Linked DNA regions of Notamacropus eugenii. The protein of the gene in region 1 interacts with the protein of each later gene in a pairwise test. Links are inferred from orthologs where the notes say so. Each region holds a gene or a part of one and is shown in the gene's direction. Other genes may lie near its edges.

Region 1 (10,662 bases):
CAGGTTCATTCCTGGCTTCAGAGTTGGGAGGAGTGGAAACTTGGGACTAGAAGAGACCTGAGTGACCTCGTCCAGTCTTGTTATTTTACAGAGCTAAATTAGTCTTAGCCCACGGTTCTGTAGGGTTTTACGGCAGGCAAAGTATGGTCCCAAAAGATGCCCTCTCTTCTCAGAGTGACAATGCCGAGCCAGCCCCTGAGCAAAGAAGCCAAAACCTTGGAGGGGGATGGGGACAGGGATGGGGACTCTGCCCCAGAGATGAACGGGCTGGAAGAGGAGGAGGAAGGCAGTGAGGACGAGCAGAGTGCCAGCCAGACAGAGTCGGATGGCGAGAGCTCAGGTGAGCCTTTGGGACCCCTGTCCTCACCTCCACCCCACCCCGCACTGCTCCTGCTGGGACAGACTGACCGGCCCTGTGTCCTGCAGAAATGGATGATGAGGACTGTGAACGTCGCCGCGTCGAGTGCCTCGATGAGATGTCGGACCTGGAGAAGCAGTTCTCAGAACTCAAGGAGAAGTGAGTTCAGGGAGCTGCCTCCCTGCTCCCCTTTCAAAGCCTGGCATTCCTGGATCCCCTGAAGCTGAGTTGACACCCCGCCCCCCCAGAGGCAGGGGACCATGCTGGTGCAACCTTGCCATGGCATGATAAGAGGGCTTGGAAGACATGGGGCTGAATCCTGACTCTGCCACTAACTTTCTAGGTGACCTTGGGCCTCAGTTTCTCTCTCTGTCCAATGAGATGGTAGAGGTGGGTGGCATTCTTTGACTCTTGTTTCTCAGGCTGTTCAAGGAGCGACTGAGCCAGGTACGTTTTCGGCTAGAAGAGGTTGGGGCCGAACGGGCACCTGAGTACACCCAGCCCCTTGGAGGACTGCAGCGAAGTCTCAAGATTCGAATTCAGGTGGCAGGTGAGTGCCCTGACCCTGGGCCCCTGGAAGCTGTCTCTCCCCTTCCCAGGGGAGCTGTTCCTTCTCTCTCAGGCCCTGTCCCCACCACCACCTTTCTTGAGGTACCATCTGCCTGGGAGGTGCCACCCACCGGTCAAGATCTGCTCTTTCTCTCTTCCCCCCAGGCATCTACAAGGGCTTCTGTCTGGATGTGATCAGGACCAAGTATGAATGTGAGCTTCAGGGAGCCCGGCAGCACCTGGAGGTGAGTGGGAAGGGGGTACAGCAGAGCCAGAGGCAAGGGCACAGGTGCCCCCATGCCTGACCGCTGGCTTCCTTTTCAGAGTGAGCGGCTGCTGCTGTATGATGCCCTCCAGGGGGAGCTCCAGGAGCGGATTCAGCGCCTCGAGGAGGACCGCCAGAGCCTAGACATCAGCTCTGGTGAGGTGGGGGAGGGGGAACCTGGTAGGGTATGGGGTGAGGGCAGCCTGCTGACTCTCCCTCTCTGGCACAGAATGGTGGGATGACAAGGTGCACCCGAAGGGCAGCTCAAGATCCTGGGAGACCCTGCAGTCAGGCAAGAGGAAGAAGGCCCCGCTCGTCTCTGGTATCCTTATATCACAGGGGCCCTGGTGGAGGCCCCTCGAGGCAAGCCAGTATACAAGGGGCCCAGAGCCCAAGAGGCAAGGAAGGGATTGTGCCATACTCTGCAGGGAGGGCAGGGCTCACACCTGGAAGGAATCTTAGAGGCTCAACATTCTGGGCCTCCTGCTCTGCACAGGTTATGAAGGGCTGGGCCCAAAGGACAGAAGCCCAGCTCCAACCTGGGGCACCTGCACATCCTTCCTGTGAAGATGAGGTGGGGCCCCTTAGAGCTTCCATTCTGAGGCCCTTTTCAGGTCCTGGCTCTGACACATCCTGGCTGTCCTTCCCTGGGCAAGTCAGTCACTGCTTCAGGCCTTAGGTGGTCCTTCTGGGCTGTGTCAACATCAGGGGAGGGAACTGGAATCACAGCCCTGGCAGTTGTGGGGGTTATGCCAGGTGACATCAGAGCACTGGAAAGGAGAGGGGATTCACCTGGCACACATTAGGTACCTGCTGTGTGCCCGGGACTGCAGGCCCAAACTGTCCTTGCCCCTGGGAGCTTTAGGTCCAGAGAAAAGCCCCACAAGAATGTTGGAGTCAGATAGGGATGGGACCCCTGGGCCCGGGAAGGAGCCAGGATTTCTGTAGTGGGGTGAGAGGAGGCTGGGCATGGAGGCTGGAGACACAGGCTCCCAAAGTGGAGGCTGTCCCACTGGAAGGGTCCCTTTAAATGCCAAGCAGATAGGGAAGTTGTACTCAGTCCAAGGCAGTTGGGAACCACCTAAGCTGGGAATGGCCTGGGCCATGGGAGGACCCACCCTGGAGTCCTGTGGAGGCCTGAGACCCAGGGGGAGGCTTCAGGAGTCCAGCTTAGAGTCCAGAGGTGATTGAATAAGGAATGTAGCCTGAGAAGGATGACTTCTGAGGTCCCTGAGGCCTGGCCCTGATTGGCTTGGGGGTGGGTCTCTCTATACAATGATGATTATTCAAGTGACCTGGAGGATGGCAGAGGTGGGGGCAATGCCAATGTGGGTGGCCAGGCCTAGCTTCTAGTTTCCTTGACCCACGCCCTCTCCAGGTCCTTATATCGTCTACATGCTGGAGGATGTGGACATTCTGGAGGACTGGACAGCCATTAAGAAGGTAGGCAGATGAGGAGAGCAGCCAGGGGCAGGCGATGGCTGCTTTGACTTCTCTTATCTGGTGCCCTCCCAGCAGGGGCCTTTAGGAGAGGCCGCCTGGGACAGTCTGCTAAGGGCAGACACAATCACTGCCCTGGGGAGGGTGCAGGGAGTGGCAGCAGGCAGAAGGGAGGCTTAGATCAGAAGGTAAGGCACCCTGCTCCACTCCCAGGGGCAGAGTCCAAGTGTCCTTTGGAAAGCAGGCCTGGATGGAGTGGCTGGAGTTCGACCAAGGAAAGAGGGCCTGCCTCAGAGTCAGGACTTTGCCACCGCTAACTAGGTAGCTGTCATCATCCACAAATACGCATTTGGTGCAACATGAGTGCCAGGCACTATGCAAAGCCCTGGAATCCCTGCCCTCCAGTAGCTCCTGGTCTAGTGAAGGCTAAACAGGGTGGTTGGAGAAGGAAGACCCTGGAGCTCAGGGTGACCAGAGAGACTTCCCATAGGAAGGTGGGCTTGTGCAGAGATGGAGAGGGAGCACCCCTGTGGGGCTGGAGGGAACAGCCAGGAGGCTAGAGTGAAAGCAGGAAAGGTGAGTGGGGACTTGGAATGTTCTATATTTGCTCGTGCTAGTGTTTGGAGGGAGTCTGGAGTTAATGGGAGGGGGGGGTGATACGGTCAGACTTATGCTTTAGGGAGATCACTGTAGTGGGCAGAGACCTGAGGCAGGCAGACCTCCCAGCAGGCATTGCAGTAGTCCAGACTGTGTCAGGGGAGAGAAGGGTGTGTATTCTGGGAGGCTGAGAAGGCACAGGCCCTGGCTATGGAGGTCTGTTGAGTGTGTGGCATGCAGGGGGAGTCTAGGCTGAGAGAGAGGATGGTGGTACTCTCTACATGAGGTTGGAGCTCAGCTGGCTTAGGGCTGGGTGAATCCAGAATCAGCTGAATGGAAATGACCTTTGGATCCATGGGAACTGAGGATGGGTCTTCAGGGCAGGTGGGGCTCTCCCTGAACGGCCTCCATTTTTCCAGAAGTGTCTAAGCTTGGGGCAGGAGCCATCAAAGTCTTGAAGAGGAATGGGCAGGTCTGAGGAAGCTGCCCTGATGTGGGGAAGAGCCAGTGGAGGGTTAGGGGGAGGTGCCTACTGGAGATGACATCCCTTGTAGCAGGCCCAGTCAGCTCCATTTTGTGATGTTCACTGGTGCCATAGGTGGGAAGGCTGCAGATAGTAGGGGAGCTGGGGCTTGGAAAGGTGTGATCAGCCATAGGCAGTGGGTGTGGAGTGGAAGTGATCAAAGGGTCAAGATAGGGAAGGAAAGAGGGTATAGGGGGGCAGAGCTCAAGATAGGGAAGGAAAGAGGGTACAGGGGGGCAGAGGCCCCCTAACCCAAGGCTGAGGGTGTGACCTCTGTGCCCCATGTGGAGCTCCTGACGGGAGGGCAGGGGAGGGGTCAGCTGTCCATCTGCTGTCCTGCCTAGAAGCCCCTTGGAAGGCCATTGGGGTAGGAATCCAAGGCCCTGGTTCAAATCTCATCTCTCAAGTTTGCTTCTTGGTACATCCCCTAATCCCTGAGCCAGGAAGGACTTGGAGGCAGCATGGCAGTAGGGTACTTTTTCTTCTCTCCCCCAGGCTAAAGTCGCTGTGTCCCCACAGAAGAGGAAACCTGAGGGTAAGGGCAGAAGTGACCCCTTCAGGCCTGCCCATCACCCTCTTCACAGGGTCGAGGAAGGGGGTGGTCCTGTGGGGAATGTTAGCTCCCACTGCTCAGGGGAAGAGGGGGAGGGGTTTGTTGGCTCTCTGGCTGTGACCCTGGCTAACCACCAAGCAATCCAACCTTTCCAGTGCCACCTTGAACAGCTCTGATCCTCAAACGAGGATGCCCAAAAGACTCTGTTTGAGGCTGCTGGCCCTCCTTCCTGGGGCATCCACACAGCCCTGCCAGTCCCATTCTCCAGTCCCACCTAGACATGCTTCCCTCTCCTTCAGAAGGTCCACCTTCTTGGCCTGGGGCTACTGCCCTGCCACCTAGGTGGGACTGCCCATAGGTGATCTCATGTCTTCTAGCCCCTGAAGGGCAGACAAGCTGCACCCAAGGCCTGACCGGACACCTGGGGCTCCTGGACCGGCTCCTAGGCCCTCCAGCCACCAGATGACTCCATGGTCTGAACTCTACCACCCTTTTCTCCACCGTCTGGTCTCTTGACAGCTGGGATGCCACCGGGCTGTAGATGTGGGGCTGACTCAAATGTCCTGGATGCCCATCCTCAGACATGGGGGCCTCTTGGGTCTCCTGTCACTTTCACTCAGAGCCAGTAGACTCTTAGAATGGCCCAGTGTCAGCCAGCCTTTGCTAGCCCAGCCCCTAGGGCTCTGGAAGCCATGCTGTTGACCCAAGGCTGCCAGGGGTAGGGGCCCAGGGCCAGCTGGCATCTCTGCTGTTCCTCAGAAGCTCCTTGAAATGACATATTTTTGGATTGAGAACGAAGGAGCCCAGGTTTTCTAGGGTCCTGGGAATTAGAATCATGGAATCATAATTAAAATTTAATAATTAAAACAGCTCTGCCCTGCCTCTCGTGTACCTGTCCCGCATTTCCTCCCCTCCTGCCAGGAGACCTTAATGAGGCCTCCCGCTTTGGCAGGGTAGGGAAAACCCACCTTCTCCTGGAAGGGCATTCCCCCCCCCCCCCCGCTGGGAGCAGGGGACAGAGGCCCTTCAAGACCCCAGTGCCTGTGGGCCAGAGAAAGGTAGTGCTAGCATGGTCTGAGCTCTCTGCCAGCAGGCACCCTGACAAGCCGGGAGCCCAGGCAAACCAGGGATTAGAAATCTGTAAACTGGATTGGGAGCAGATCTCGGATTGACCTCAGAGGTCAGACAGGCTCAGGAATCCTGACAGGAGGGCTCGTTCTTGCTCTCTCCTGTTCCTTCCCCCTCAGTATTCCTCACAAATCAGAGGGGAAGGGACTTTAGGAAGCACCGGGTCCTAGGAGCCTACCAGGGCATCTTGTTCCAGATGATGAAAGAAGTCAATTGCCCACGCTCACACCAAGTGCCACAGAAAGGCGCACAGTGGGTAGAGTTCTGAGCCTCCAGGCAGTCAGGATCTGTGCTCAGATATGCCCGCAAATGGTCACTGATGGTGTCAGTCATCTAACTTGGGTCTGCCTCAGTTTCTTCAATTGTAAAATAGGAAGGGATATTTGTAATATGCTCAGAACAGTACCTGGCACATGGTAGGTGTTTAATACTTGTTCTAATCCCCCCACCCCAAAAAAGGGTGGAATCCAAACCCAGTTCCTCTCACTGCAAGCGCCTGCTCTTGCCCACTTGCCCCTGGCGTCTCTAACTCCAGTGACCTGTGAGAGGCCCCAGCTGGAGGCAGGGCAGGGCAGCTCAGGAATGTACATCCTGGGAGGAGTGGCTTCCAGTGTCCCAGACCTACCTGGCCCAGCCCAGCTGGATGGGACCCAAAAGGAGCTGGGTGGGAGGGGAGAAGGCAGAGAGGCCTTAGCTGGGCTGTGCACTGGTGACCTCAGAGCTGGGCTTTTCCCATCCCCCTTTAATGCTGTCAGTGCCACCCCCAGAAAAAGGGGGTGGTTACCATGGCAACGATGTGGGGGAAATGCAGCCTCCTCACCATGGCAACCTAAGAGCTACAAGAGAGATGCTGGGGGGAGGCAGCATGCAACCATGAGGGGGCACTCTCGGAGGGAGGGGACTGAACCCAAGGATGCCCCATGGGTGAGTCACCAAGCCCTGCGTGGGCCCAAGGCAGATGCCCAACTTAACCCGCTCCTGTCTGCAGGTTTGGGGGCGGGGAGAGCCTGGGATGAGAGAGTTGAACCGAGCTGCTCCGGGCATTGTGGTCCTGGAGCGCCTTGGGATGGTGAGCAGCTGGTGCTAACTGGAGCAGAGGCAGCTGGCACTGCGTGGGCCCAGAAGGGGTGCTGTGGGCAGAGAAGAGTTAACATGTTGGGGTGTGCCAGGGCTGAGCTCCTCTCAGGAAGTGTTACTCACTGGAAATGTGACTGCGCCTTCGCTCCGGGCCCTGGATTCTTAGTCTTGAGAGGAGGGAAAAGGGGCTCTGGAGAGCCCTGTGCCAACCATGGAGCTGTCTGGGGAAGCCAGCTCTGCTTCCAGGTAACTCCCCGGAGAAAAGTTGGGGAAGTTGGAGGCTGGGAGCTCGTGTGTGTCCCTGTGTGTGTGCGTGTGTCCCTGTGTGTGTCTCCCTCCCCACTGTGTGTGTGTTCCTGTGTGCTTGTGTGTGTGGGCGTGCGCTCATGAGACTGGGGTGAGGGGAAGGTTAACATGCAGGGGACAAGGAAGAGGAGAATACACAGGAGGTGGGGAGAGGAGACTGGACAGGGAAGGAAACTGAGGCAAGGAACACAAGTGGGAAGGAGAGCGCCCCCCCTCCCCAACCCCAGAAGAATCAGCTCCAAAGGCTCAGGGAAGGTCTGGCAGCAAAAAAGAGGCAGCTGTTTCTCAGACCCATGTCTCTGTCTCTTTCTTGCAGCCTGGCTGGAGACCCCATCTATGATGTCCCAGAGGCCAGGGGAGAGCAGACTGGCCAGCTCCAGTGCCCCGGGCGCACAGTGAGCCTGCGAGAGCGGCTGCTTCTCACCCAGCCCGTGTGGTTACAGCTTAGTGCAAATGCTGCAGCTGCCCTCCACGTGCTACAGAGGGAACCCCCTGGGGTGAGGGACGGTGGGTGGCCATGGGCCTTCCTCCAGGAGGCTAGGAAGGATGGAGGAGGAGGGAGACAAGAGGAGGCTGGGGGTATGTGAGGGAGAGGCCCAGGCCCCCTGGCCCTCTGAACCTCCCCCCTCCCTCACCAGACGTTCCTGGTTCGGAAGTCCAACACCAGACAGTGTAAGGCCCTGTGTGTCAGGCTCCCCAAGGCCTCTGGACCATCCTTTGTCTCCAGCCACGACATCCAGGAAACCCCTGAGGGTGAGGCCCGGGGTGGGGGAGGGGATGGGGGGGCTGGCAGCCTGAGGAGAGGGCTGCCTCTTCCCAGAACTGACACCTTCCCTTCCTTGCAGGCGTCTCCCTGGAGGGCTCTGAACTCTCGTTCCCAGACCTGATCCAGCTCATCTCCGCCTACTGTCACAGTCGGTGAGCAGACTGGTGCCCCCTACCCCCTACTCAGTGGGGAGCTCACAACATGCAAACCTGGACCCGACTCCCCCGCATCCGCCTCCCCTTCTCCCCATCCAGGAAGCCCCCCAATCCCGACTCGGACTCTGTTTGCAATAGAGCCTGGGTTCCCCTAGATCCTGACTCAGTCTCCTCTCTGCCATCCAGAGACATCCTGTTTCTCCAACTCCAGCTGCCCAGAGCCATCCGCAGGGCTACCACCCACAAGGAGCTAGAAGCTATATCTCATCTGGGAATGGGTCTGTACTCTTCTGCCCTTCTGAGCCACAGAGCCAGAGAGGAGGGTCCCAGTGGACTCAATCTCCCCCAGCTCCCTTCTGGGGGCAGTTACCCTTGGAAGAGACCTAAAGGGCCATCTCTGAGATGGTCCAAGCCCCTCATGTAAAAGATGGGAGGGAGATGGAGAGCCATGGGGCCACTGGGATCACCGAGCCCATCTGTGGGCTGGCCAGTCCCAGCCCCTTGTGTTACAAATGGGGAAACTGAGGCTCAGGGTCTCTGAATTCTCTTTTCCCCAGAGTTCTGGAACTCTTCTCTGAACAGCAAGGCCCAGGGAGGCCTAGCAGTCCCTCCCACCAAGGCCCCACCGATTCCCCGCCTGAAACCTCGGTCCCCAGAGGAGCTGGACCAGGGGACCGGAGGAGCCCTCTGCTTCTTCAATCCCTTGTTTCCTGGGGATTTGGGCCCAGCCAAACGGGAGAAATTCAAAAGGAGCTTCAAGATTCGGGTGTCCACTGAAACCTCCAGCCCACTGTCCCCCCCTGCTGTCCCACCGCCCCCCGTGCCGCTGCCCTCGGGGGGTCCTCCTGCCCAGACTCAAACTGAACCCCCTCGCAGGCTGCTGAGAAGGGAAAGCTCAGGGGGCTACCGGGTCCCAGGGAGTACTGGCCCAAGCCCAGCTCCTCTACCCTCCCTCCAGGAGGTGGACAGTGGCTCCCCCAGCAGCTCGGAGGACGAAGGTGGCCCTCCTGGGAGGCCGGGCTCATCCCCTCTCCCAGGGCGGAGGCGCCGGCTGCTTCGGTCCATGAGTGATGCTTTCTGTTCCCTCCTGGCCCCCGAGAGACAAGTGGCCCGAGCTGTGGTGGAGCTGGCCCGGGACAGACAGACAGTCACTGGGCAACTCGTACAGGACCTGCTGACCAAGGTGCGGGCAGGGCCTGAACCCCAGGAGCTACAGAAGGTGCGGGAGGTGCTGAGCCAAGCACAGACCCTGATGGTGGCTGAACTGGCCCAAGAAAAGCTATTAGCTGAGGAGAGACTGGGTGAGTGGCACCCCCTCCAGCTCTGAGACCTCAGGCTCATCCTCATCCCCATATTTCTCCCCTATTTCCTCAGTTCTGCCCCTCCCCCATGCTAGCTCCCCACTTTCCTACTCATTTCATCCTAAATGCTCTTATCACACTCCCCTGCCTCCAGCACATAGAGGGGCAACATGGGACAGTGCGTAGGACCTTGGCTGTAGGAAGCTCTGGATTTAAATCCTAGCTGAGCCTCAGTTTCCCCCTAAAGCGTTGGATCAGGAGCCTCTCCAGGCTCTAGGAGTGCTAGCTCTGTGACTCTACAATCCCCCTTCCCTCCCTGGCCCATCCCCTCCCTCCTTGCCCCCTCCCTGCCTTACCCTCCGGGATCTTTCCTCTTGCCCCTTTCCAGAGCTGGTGATAGAGAAATCTCTGCAGCGCTCAGTGCTGAAGCCCCTCCGGCCTCTCCTTCTGGCCCGCCTGAGGCTCCGCTTGGCTCAAGATGGATCCTTGGGCCGGCTGGTAGAGGGCCTCCAGCTGGCCAGGGCTCAGGGGCCCAGAGCCTTGGGAAGCTGCCTCAGTCTCCCCTCCCCATCTGAGATGGAGCGTATCCGGCAGAAGCTGCTGAAACTCCTCCAGGGCTACTCTCCCACGGCCAAGGTCACTCGTCTCCTGCAGGCCTGCAAGCTACTCTACAAGGCCCTGAGCAGCTGGGCAGGTACCTGCCTGAAGGGGCAGTATGGAGGACAGGGCATGTGGCATCTTATATGGGAGGGAGCTTAGAATGCATGACAGACCATGTCAGAGCCAGGAGGGACCTTCAAACTGAGAACTGGAGCATCCGCTTGCCCACTTCAAAGTCTCTGGGTCTCAGTTTCCCCCAAACCATCCTAAAAGGGACCACAGTGGCCCTGGGGGGAAGGAGAGCTGTCTTCCTTTGGTTTCCTGGCCTGAAGTCAATGGCCTCTCCTCCCCTACCTGCCCCTAGCATTTCTGGCTTCCAAGGAGGCCCCCAGTGCAGCTTTGGGCTGAAGGCTCAGTTGTCCAGAGATCCCATCCCTCTCATCCTCCCAAGACCTTAAAATCCAAACAGTGGAGGGGTCCGGGCTGGGCTGGAACCCCCCTTCCTTGTGGAACAGGGAGATGAACAGAGAAAGACCAATAGCCACTGGGGACTAGGGGACACAAAAGAAACACATCCCCAGGTATGCCTGAGCCAGAAGCTGGGGTGAGGCTGACCCAGGAACCACCCGGCCCCTGCAGGGTTTGTTCCCCAGCTGTAGTCTGTGGAAAAGACAGAAGGGGAGGCTAAGGGTTTCTCCCTCGGCAGGGGAGAATGCCGGGGCCGATGAATTCCTGCCTCTGCTCAGTGCTGTCCTGGCCCAGTGTGACCTCCCAGACCTGCTGCCCGAGACTGAGTACATAACAGAACTGCTTGAGCCCAGTCTGCTCACAGGGGAGGGTAAGCACCCCCCTCCTCATTCCTCCTCTCCCTCCTCCCTGTCCTACTCCCCCAATGCGGCCACCTGCCTCGACTAGCTTCTGTCCCATACCCTCACCTGAGACCTTCCTGTCCTCAGGGGGCTATTGCCTCACCAGCCTGGCAGCCAGCCTGACCCTGCTGGGGAGTTTGAGCCAGGCTGGCTCACAGCCCATCAGTCCATCCCA
Region 2 (9,956 bases), on another chromosome or scaffold:
AGGTGAAGACCAGAGAATGATGGCTCCATTGCTAGTCTGGTCTTTTCTACAAAATGGATGTTCCAGGAAGGATTCACTAATGGGAGAAGGGGCCTTCAGCAAAGTGATGTAGTAGATGGAGCCTTGGATCTGGAATCAGGAAGACCTGAGTTCAAATCCAATCTCCAACAAGAAATAGTTGGGTGACCCCATTTGCCTCAATTTTCTCAATCACAAAATGAGGATAATAGTAACACCTACCTCACAGGGCTGTTGTGAAGATCAAATGTGATTATATTTGTAAAGCACTTAGTACAGTACCTGGCACACAGTAGGTGTTATATAAATGCTAATTGTTGTCATCATCATCATCACCATCATTGGACAGTGAGTGTCAGAGGAGGGCAACCAGAATTGTGAAGGGCCTCAAATTCAAGTCATATGAGGACTGCCTGAAAGTAGTGAAAGAAGAGAGACCTTAGAGGGAGCGGGAGATCTGCCTCGAATCATTCAGGTTTACAGCCTTAGAGTCAACCTTGACTTTTCCCTCTCCCTCAAACCCCTTATCCAATAATCTGCTGGGTCTTAATCTAGTCTGTTTCCAGCCACCATATTTCTTGCCTCCAGCCCCTTTCCTAACTGGGATACAACTCAGCCTCTATTTCATGGCCTTATCATTTCATCTAACAAAACAGCATTCCAATTGTTTTCCCAGCTCTAGCCTCTATCCTCTTCAATTCATTGTTCACACAGCTGCCAAACGGATATTCCTACAACATAGATCTGATCATATCATCTTGTATTCCAAAACCTTCAATGGCTCCCGATTGCCTCTAGGTTAAAATACAACATCCTCAACCTAGCTTTTAAAGCCCTTCATAATTTGATTTTCCCCTACCTATTCAGCATTATATGAAATTATTCCACTTACCTCACTCTCACTATCGTTTTCTAATTCCTCAAATACAGTATTTCATCACCCACCTCCATGCCTTTGTTCAAATGGTGCCACATTTCTGAAACGTACTGCCTTCTTTTCTACACTTGATAGAATCCCAAGCTTCCTTCTTATAGTAGCTCATAATCCACCCCTGGAACCAGAACTTTCTATTTTTTTACTTGGTGATACTTGCCTCTAATTCCCCTGCTATGAGGACAGAGACTAAACGCTTGCACATAGCACAGAGCTTTGCAAACAGTAAGTGCTAAATAAATATTTATTGAATTGAATGGAATTAAAGAGGGATTCAGCAGTTAGATGGTGCAGTGGACAGAGAGCAGAGCCTGAGTCAGAAAGTCTCGTCCTGAATTCAAATTCCATCTCAGACACTTACTAGCTATGTGACCCTAGGCAAGTCACTTAACCCAGCTTGCCTGAGTTTCCTCATCTGTAAAATGAGCTGGAGAAGGAAATGGCAAACCACTCCAGTATCTCTGCCAAGAAAACCCCAAAAGAAGTCATGAAGAGTCAGACATAGCTGAAACAACTCAACAACAATAAATACTGAAGAGGGGTTCATTATGGAGGAAGCCTGGCTTCAGAGAGCAGGAAGGGTAAGGCCCACTATAAGGAAAAAACCCCTTGTAGAACTATATAAAAGTGGAACATATTTCCTCAGGAGTCAGCGGGTTCCCCATCATTAGGGGTCTTCCAGCTAACGAAGGATAAACACTTTTCAGGTGTATTATAGAATAGATCTTCGCTCAGGTAGAGCTTGTACTATACAGTTTCTGGCTTGAACCTCTGCAGGCCCCTCTAATTATGGTTTTTTAAAAATGATTTCTGAGTGATGATAGACTGAAGACAGGAAGATCAGTTTTGAGGCTAAGACAATATTTTGGGGCTTGAATAAGGGTTACTGTGGGAGTGCAGATGGCCATAGAGTGGAACCTGGCAGTGTGTGTGTGTTCTTCCTTCGTTGCCAAAGAAGGCCATGCCATCAGAGAAATGATGACATGACTTGCACTTGACTTTGTTTTGAGTGAGGGAGGGCTGTGCAGGTCACCAGTCTCACTTCTCCTCCAGAGCCATCTGAATCCAGTGACCAGACATTCATCAGGATGACTGGAGATGACCCAGGATGAGGCAATTGGGGTTAAGTGACTTGCCCAAGGTCACACAGCTAGTGAGTGTCTGAGATGAGATTTGAACTCAGGTCCTCCTGACTCCTGCACCAGTGCTCTATCCACTGCACCACCTAGCTGCCCCAGGAGCCTGGCAGTAGACTGGCTGTGGGAGCTGAGAGAGACTCAAGAGGCCAAGGGGAATCTGTGGGATGAAATTCCCAGCTGGAAATGATTTAGTTCAACCCTCTGAGTTGAAACTGAGGCCCCACTAGATGATGCTTCTTACTTGGGACACAGGTAGCAGATGTTAAAGATGGGATTGGAAGTTGGGTCCCCTGACTCCCAAATCCTCGGGCTCCTTCCATGATACCATTCTATCTAAATAGTTAGCATCCCGCTAGTGAATGGGATCAAGAAGAGAGGAGAGTTTGGAACACATCTTTGGAGGGACACCCACTTGAGAAGGAGAAAGCAGTAGCAAAGGAAACAGGGAAGCAGAGCTGTGAGACAGAATCCAAAGTCGTAGAAAATCGTGGGTCAAGAAGGATGAGGGAATCCCAACTGCTGAAGGCCAATGACGATTTCTTTTATTTTCTTTTTGAGGAGGCAGCCAGAATATGTGACTCCTAAAATAGAAGTGCCTCTATGGTGTAGGCTTTGTTAGCCTGTCCTGTTCTCTGGGCCTGCAGACGCAGGCATAAGGAGCTCGGATTGTTTAGGAGAGGAGGAGCTGGACAGAAGGGAGACTGAATAACTCTCATTATGTCTCTGAAGGGCTATTCTTCAGGGATAGGCAGTCACAGAGGGGCACTGGATCCAAAGCCTGGCAGCCCTTTCTCTACCACTCCCCACAATATGCAGTTCTTTATCCTTTCTCTCTCTGTCTCTCTCCTCTTCCTCAGCCCGTATTCTTTGTCTTATACACACACACACACACACACACACACACACAATGCTATTTCTGGGACACCCAGTCATAGTGTCCCATATACAACTACCTTCCTTTTCCTATACCCCTAGAACACAGTCACTGTCCCACCTCCACCCTCCATATTCACAATCCCTGTTACACACCTACAATCATTGCATACAAGGTCAGTTTCACAAAAATAGCTACACTTCTGATCAAACATACTTACTACTAATATACAATGTCACATATCTATACCCTTCACACAGAGGGTATTACATCATTTATTCATTCGAGAAACATGCAGCAGACATTTATTAAGCAAGTGTTGGGGAATACAAAAAAAAGGCAAAAGATGGTACTTGGCTTCACTGAGCTCCCAGTCCAAGAGATGAGATTACCATGGGAACAAGTATAGAGAAGAAGAGAGCCGCAGGATAGTGCCTCAGGGAACACTCTTTAAATTTTATTCTTTCATTTTGAACTTAAACACCAAATAAAAAGGGCACCAGATATATAAAGTTCACCAGAAGAAGAGGATTGTACATGAAATCATGAATCTGTGATACAGAACTTATTTTTCCTTTTAAGAATGCAATAAAATCAGCATGTAGCGTTCAAAACTGTCTTGCTTGCTTATGATTCCTTCTGGCATTCCTTCTATTCTACCATGTACTGTCCTAAAAATGCTTCAAAAACCTCTTCCTTTTTGGTCTTTTTCTCTATGCCTAGGCTCCTCCTCCTTCCTTCTACCCCCATTGGAAAAAAGGAAAAAACAAAATCTTCTTAACAAACGTGTCTAGTCAAATAAAGCAAATTTCCACATTTGAATGTATCTCTTCTTCTGTACTTTGAGCCCATCACTCTCCACCAGGAGGTGGGTAACAAGCTTCATCTTGGCAAGTGGGGAGAGACAGGATACGCCCATTCTTTGAGACAGAATTAGAATCACAGAACCTCAAGAGTTGGATGGGACATCAGAGGCCACTAGCTCAGCTTGCACCTGAGAAAGGACGTCTACACAGCCGACAGGGTCATTCAGCCTGTGTCTGAAGACTCATTTGTTCCAAAGGAAGCCTATTCTCCTGTTGGAGGTACCTGGTGTAGTAGAAAGAGTGCTGGACTTGAGATCAGGAAGACCTGGCTTCAGAACCTGCCTCACGTGTTAGTGTTGAGGCAGATAATTCCTTGGCCCTTCATTTTTTCATCTATGTATGAGGAGGGAAGGGTGGGAGATGCCTTGTAGGGGCTGGGCTCCCCCGGGAGAGTCAGCACTATCTGTACATAGAATGTGGGGTTTGGACTCTAGGGACTTGAAGGTTCCTTTCAATTCTAAATGGATGATCCTATGATACAGGATTTCAATTTAACAAGCACTTATTAAGCACTTTCTATATGTAAAGTCAAAGGCAATAATAAAATCTGTTCAAATAGCTCCTGCCCTCAAGAAGTTTATAGTCTACTGAAAAAAAGACAAAGACAAAAAGTACCCAAGTGCCAGGCCTAGAGGCCTGAGGGCTATCCCAGTCTTACCTTACCTATCGCAGGCTGGCCAAACCGGATAAACGTATGAGAGAAGAGACTTTCCAGAGTCGAACAAGGGTTAGGCTTTATTCAGGGTCTTGGTTACATGTGCAGGGGGAACTCTTCCTTAGGAGAGAGGGGAATCTCCCAAGGAGGCAAAGATCTTACAGTAAGAGAATAGAAGCAGAAGTGGAAGTGGGGAGAGAGGGGAGAGGAGCCTTCTGTCCTGTAAGGGTCCCTCAGTGCTAAGAGTGCCTTCAGGCTTTCCTGACCCTACTTAAGTTCTCCTGCCGCATAGTTTGCACCTGAATACCGTGCCTGTTAGATAACACTAGGTGTGCTCAGATCCAGGCCAATTTCGAGGGCAGGGATGCTCTCTCCCAGCACTTTTCCCATGGGAAGAGGCGGAAATACACGAGATAGCTCGGTCTCACACCTCAATTCCCTGCTGTTCCCTGGGGGGCCTCATGAGAACTCTAAGGTTTAGAAGTCCTCACCTTTACCCGCCCGCCCGAGACTGTCCACATAGAACTGAGCTTACACCCCCAACACCCAAGAACTATGAGGGGGCAATGTAGTGGAGGCTTCTTCTAGGGCACACAATCCCCCACTCACCTGATGGCATAATCTGTCACACACACACACACAGTCACACAATCACACCCACACAGATACACACATGGTCACACAATCTGTCTCATACACACAGTCACACAATCACACCCTCACAGATACACACATGGTCACACAATCTGTCTCACACAGTCACACAATCTCACTCACACACATACACACGTGGTCACCCTGTTACACAATCTGTCACATCCACAAACATACAGGCACACAATCACACCCTCACAGATACACACGTGGTCACACAATCTGTCTCATACACACAGTCACACAATCACACAGTCACACAATCACACCCACACAGATACACGTGTGGTCGCACGCACGCACGCACACAGGGTCGCCCACCACCCCACCACGTTCGGGCCTCCGCAGGAAGCCTCCCCCCTCCCTGCCTCCCTCTCGCCCCCACCCCCGGGCCGGAGGCCCCGCCCCCGCCCCGCCCCCTCATGAATATCCCGGCCCAGATGAGCACGGGCCCCGCCCCGCCCCGCCATTTGTCGCGGCTCGGGAGGCTACGCTCGCTGCCCGGGCGCTGAGGAGGGAGGCTGAGGAGCGCGAACCCGGACCCCGGCCCTCGGCCGGGCCCCCCCGCCGCTCTCGCCCCGGCGGCTCCGCGCCCGCGCCCTCCCCTCGGGAGCCCCCGGCTCCTGCCCCGAAGACCCGGCCGCGGCGCCCCCCGCCCAGCCCGGGCCGCCCCGCAGCCCTCTCGCCCGCCGCGGCCCGCGCTCGGCCCCGGAGGGGTGGGGAAGGGAGCGGGGCCTCCGCAGGGGCCGGCCCCGGCTGGGCCGGGCCGGGCCGGACGCCCCCATGGCCACGGCGGGCTGGCGGGACGGCTCCGGGCAGGAGAAGTACCGGCTCGTGGTGGTGGGAGGAGGCGGCGTCGGCAAGTCGGCGCTCACCATCCAGTTCATCCAGGTGACCGCGGCGCCGCGCAGGGACGGGGGAGGGGGCTGTGCGGGGGGAGGGGACTGCCGGGGGGGAGGGGGGCCGTCCGGGGGAGGGGACTGCCGGGGGGAGGGGGGACTGCCGGGGGGAGGGGAGAAGGGGGGAGGGGGCTGAGGCTGCCGGGGTGGGGGAGGGGGGCCGTCCGGGGGAGGGGACTGCTGGGGGGCGGGGGGGGACTGGTGAGGGGAGGGGGCTGAGGCTGCCGGGGTGGGGGAGGCTGCCCCGAGAGGGGGAGGGGGGCCGTCCGGGGGAGGGGACTGCTGGGGGGAGGGGGCTGAGGCTGCCGGGGTGGGGGAGGCTGCCCCGAGAGGGGGAGGGGGAGGGGGGCCGTCCGAGGGGGAGGGGGGCCGTCCGGGGGAGGGGACTGCCTGGGGGCGGGGGGACTGGCGGGGGGCGGGGGGAGGGGGCTGAGGCTGCCCGGGGGCGGGAGGGGGCTGTCCTGGGGGGAGGGGCTGAGACTGCCCCCGGAGGTGGGGGGAGGGCCCGGGGCCCGGAAAGTTGTGGGTGCCCGCCTCCCCACGCAGTCCCCCAGTGGTACCGCTTTCTCGCCCTGCTTTACGCCCCGTCAGGCCCCGGGAGCCAGACTCCTCTGGAATGTGGAAGGGAAGGGCGGAGATTTTAGTCCACCTTATCTCCAGAGCCAGAGCCGGCCGGGGGGGTTTCTTTCCGTGTCTCCCCCCGACTTGTTGGTTTCAGAGCTTTGGGATCCCGGCTCTCCGCTCCCCCATCTGTTTGAAGATTTGGGGACCCCCCAGGGTGGGAGGGAGGGTCCTCTTAACACTTTTCCGTCCGTTGGAGGTCGTGTTAGGAGGGGTCCAACCTTGGGAATGCCTCCTGCTGGTTTAAAGGACTTCTCCGTGGGTTTGACTTGTGGTAAGACAAAGAGATGAGATTGTTTTGTGCACTTTATGCGCGTGTTAAAACCATCCCTCGTTCGGGTGGGATTGTAAAGATAGGGAAAAATGGTGCCTGTGGAGAAATGGAAGTGGAGCTGGAGAAACCCTTTCCTTCCCCGCCGTCCTGCCCGGTGCAGCTTTGATTGGGATACACCGAGCCTGGTAACAGCGTGCAGACTGTCTTCACAAACTGTTACTGTTACTAGTATCTCCGACCCTGCGAGGGTTAGGTGACTCCCCCGGCCTCATTCAGCTAGTGAGTGTGGGGGGGGCTGAGCTGACACCCAGGCCGGAGCCGACTGCTAGCTAGTGTTCTGTACACCATACCACATTGCCTTGGGAAATTTTGGAAAGTTTGAAGGACCTTAGCAATCATTTGGAAGCTAAGGCTTAGTTGAATGAACAAAATAATCCCTCATTATACGTGGTAAAGCAGGGACTGATACAATTCTGACTCCAGATCCAGCGCTCTTTCTATTTGAACACCCTTCCTTTGTTTTAGACTTATCTGACTTGTGCATCAACTCTACCTTCTCATCCTAAAATATTTTCTTGTCAATTCAAGTACATTTATTACGGTCCTCCTTTGTGCAAGACTCTTTTTTGTGGGTCAGCCACCCTTGGGCAGTGTTCTTGCATCTGGGTGAGGAAGATCAGAGGTGAAATACTTTGTTTAAATATAGTTCAGCAGATAGTTTTTAAGTCCTAACTTAAAGGGAAAGCTTCGTGGAGGAGGCTACCTGAACTAGGCTGGAAAAGAGGAAAGGTTGTCTACAAGTGGAGCTTTGGAAGAAATTCATTACAGATGTGGAGAACAATTTTTAGGATGAAAAAAATTAATTTCTTAGAATTTGCAGCTAGCAACAAGAATCTGATCTTTTAAATTCAGGATTTTTTCAATTAAAAAAAATCAGGTACTAGTACTGACAAACTTTATAAATACTACTTCTGTCAATTCTTGAACCCTAAGAGATAAGTTAGGTGGCCATTTCATGCAGACACTTACCCATATTCATGTTTGGTTTGTTGGCATATCCTGAAAAGTATGGTAATAAGTATAATTGAAATGTTTGGTAGGAATTGGGTTTTATATTTTTCCAGTCCATTGTTCTAAACAGGATACTTAAATAGCCTGTCCTTCCATTTCTACTTAATGGGTATTAACAACTACAAATATCACTAACATGTGGAAGTTGACATAATCACCTGTCATGTTGATGTTATGAGTAATAATACTCTTTGCAATAGTGTGGGGAGCAACTAAACAACCTACAAGCTGGTTACTTCAGTTTAACAGATACTTGTTAAGTACCTGGGCTGGTGCTGTGGTACAGAAGATTAAAAAAAAAAAAACCTGGTCCTGGCAATCAAAAAGTTTGGGGAGGATAGCATACATTCTGAAATGTAAATAGAAATGTGTTTACCAAGTAATGCAAAATAATTTTTGGATGGAGCAAGCGTTAACCATCTCAGGGATCTTGAAATCTCTGGTGTAGGAGATGGCACCTGAGTAATGACTTTAAGGGAAGCAAGGTATTCTACCACCTGGAGATGGAGGCAGTGTATTCTAAACACTGGGAATCATTTGGAACAGGGCTTGAAGGGGGTCAGTGGAATGCTGTGTGGGGAACAGCTTGCAGGCCAACGTGATTGGAATGGAAAGTGTGTGATGGAGAATATTATTAAATAACACTGGAAAAATAGTTTCCAGACTGAAAATTTGTGTTTTATTCTAGAAGTCCTCATACAGTTTGAGTTGGGGGTGACATGGTCAGACTTCTGTTTTAGGAATGTTAGTGTTTAGTAATATCAGTAATTAAGGCTTGGGCTGCTAAAAATTATTGGGACCAGTAAGATGAGGAAAAGGACCGCTTATGTTATCCCACCATTGACTTATCCTTTGTGGGTGCACATGAGCTATTAAAAAGATATGAAGAGTGGAGTAAACTGTATGATTTGGCTATAAAACCTGGGATGCTGTCATGTAGATATTTCCCAAGGGCTTAGGGGTAACATTAGGAAACTGATAGCAAAGCACTTTTTATAGCGTTTTTTTTTCTCTAGGGAGTATGGTCTCATACCTAGAACAAAGGGGGAGGTGGGAGGTAGGAATTATGGATTCTTTTCATGGCTCCACTGCTGATAAATTGTCTTACTTAAAACCACAAATGATTAAAAATTTTGTTTGGCATCCAGCTGTTTGAATCCTAAATGACTGTAATGATTAGAAATTCTTTGGGTGAAGAATAACAAGAGAAACTTGTGAAAGAAAGGCACGGAGTAGTGGACACAACACTGGACATGAAATTAGGAGATCTCACTTCCAGCTTTACTTTTGACACTTCATATCCCTGTGATCTTAGGCAAGGAAATTTACTTTGTGTTTTCTTGTTATAAAGTGGAGATGATCATACTTGCACTAGCCACTTTACAGTGTGCTTGTCAGAAAAGCATTTTGTAAGAGTGAAAACACTATAAATGGGTGTTGTCATTTAAAATACAAGTGCCTTTTTGGAAATCTTATTAATAAACATCATTTTGTGAGCATTGACTGCCTAGTTTGTAGAGAACATTGAGCTAGGTGCTCATTGATGCAAAGGAGGTTGAGACATGATCCTTCCCTTGGAAATTTGCAATTTAGTTGAGGAAAAGATGCCATATTTAGTTAAAATGTGTAGAGAATAATTTTTAGTCACCAAATGTAGCATAATGTCTAGAGAACCTGGCAGGCCTGGGTCGAGTCCCATTTATGACACATATTCAGGAAGGTGAGAAAGAGCATTCCCATGCCTGCTATAGTAACATGAAAGTTGGGAAGAGGAAGGGGTAGGGGTGGGGGAAAGATAATTAGTTCTTCTATTGAATGTGTTGAATTTGAGATGACTATGCACATCCATTGAGGGGTAGGAGGGGCAGTTGATGTGGGACAGGAGAAAGATGCACTTGGATGAAATAATCTGTATAAGCATGATGATTAAACTCATGGCAGTGGTGAAATC

The links.
Region 2: the proteins of RIN1 (region 1) and RRAS2 interact in binary tests that used the Homo sapiens proteins (3 or more experiments, as listed by UniProt). The link is inferred for Notamacropus eugenii from reciprocal best matches to the Homo sapiens genes RIN1 and RRAS2.

What each region holds. Positions count from the first base shown.
Region 1 is NC_092873.1:18,936,749-18,947,410, reverse strand, and holds the start of RIN1 (ras and Rab interactor 1), read left to right. Parts: upstream 1-5,870; 5' UTR 5,871-5,995; coding exon 5,996-6,736; intron 6,737-7,112; coding exon of another isoform or gene 7,113-7,293; intron 7,294-7,434; coding exon 7,435-7,549; intron 7,550-7,641; coding exon 7,642-7,714; intron 7,715-7,903; coding exon 7,904-7,995; intron 7,996-8,274; coding exon 8,275-9,018; intron 9,019-9,406; coding exon 9,407-9,712; intron 9,713-10,324; coding exon 10,325-10,456; intron 10,457-10,574; coding exon 10,575-10,662. Other genes in the region: BRMS1 (breast cancer metastasis-suppressor 1), read left to right, coding at 181-340, 427-517, 781-908, 1,073-1,152, 1,232-1,328, 1,402-1,494, 2,551-2,615, 4,228-4,267 and 1 more. UniProt on the Homo sapiens protein: Ras effector protein, which may serve as an inhibitory modulator of neuronal plasticity in aversive memory formation. Can affect Ras signaling at different levels. First, by competing with RAF1 protein for binding to activated Ras.
Region 2 is NC_092877.1:37,804,508-37,814,463, reverse strand, and holds the start of RRAS2 (ras-related protein R-Ras2), read left to right. Parts: upstream 1-5,630; 5' UTR 5,631-5,923; coding exon 5,924-6,031; intron 6,032-9,956. UniProt on the Homo sapiens protein: GTP-binding protein with GTPase activity, involved in the regulation of MAPK signaling pathway and thereby controlling multiple cellular processes. Regulates craniofacial development.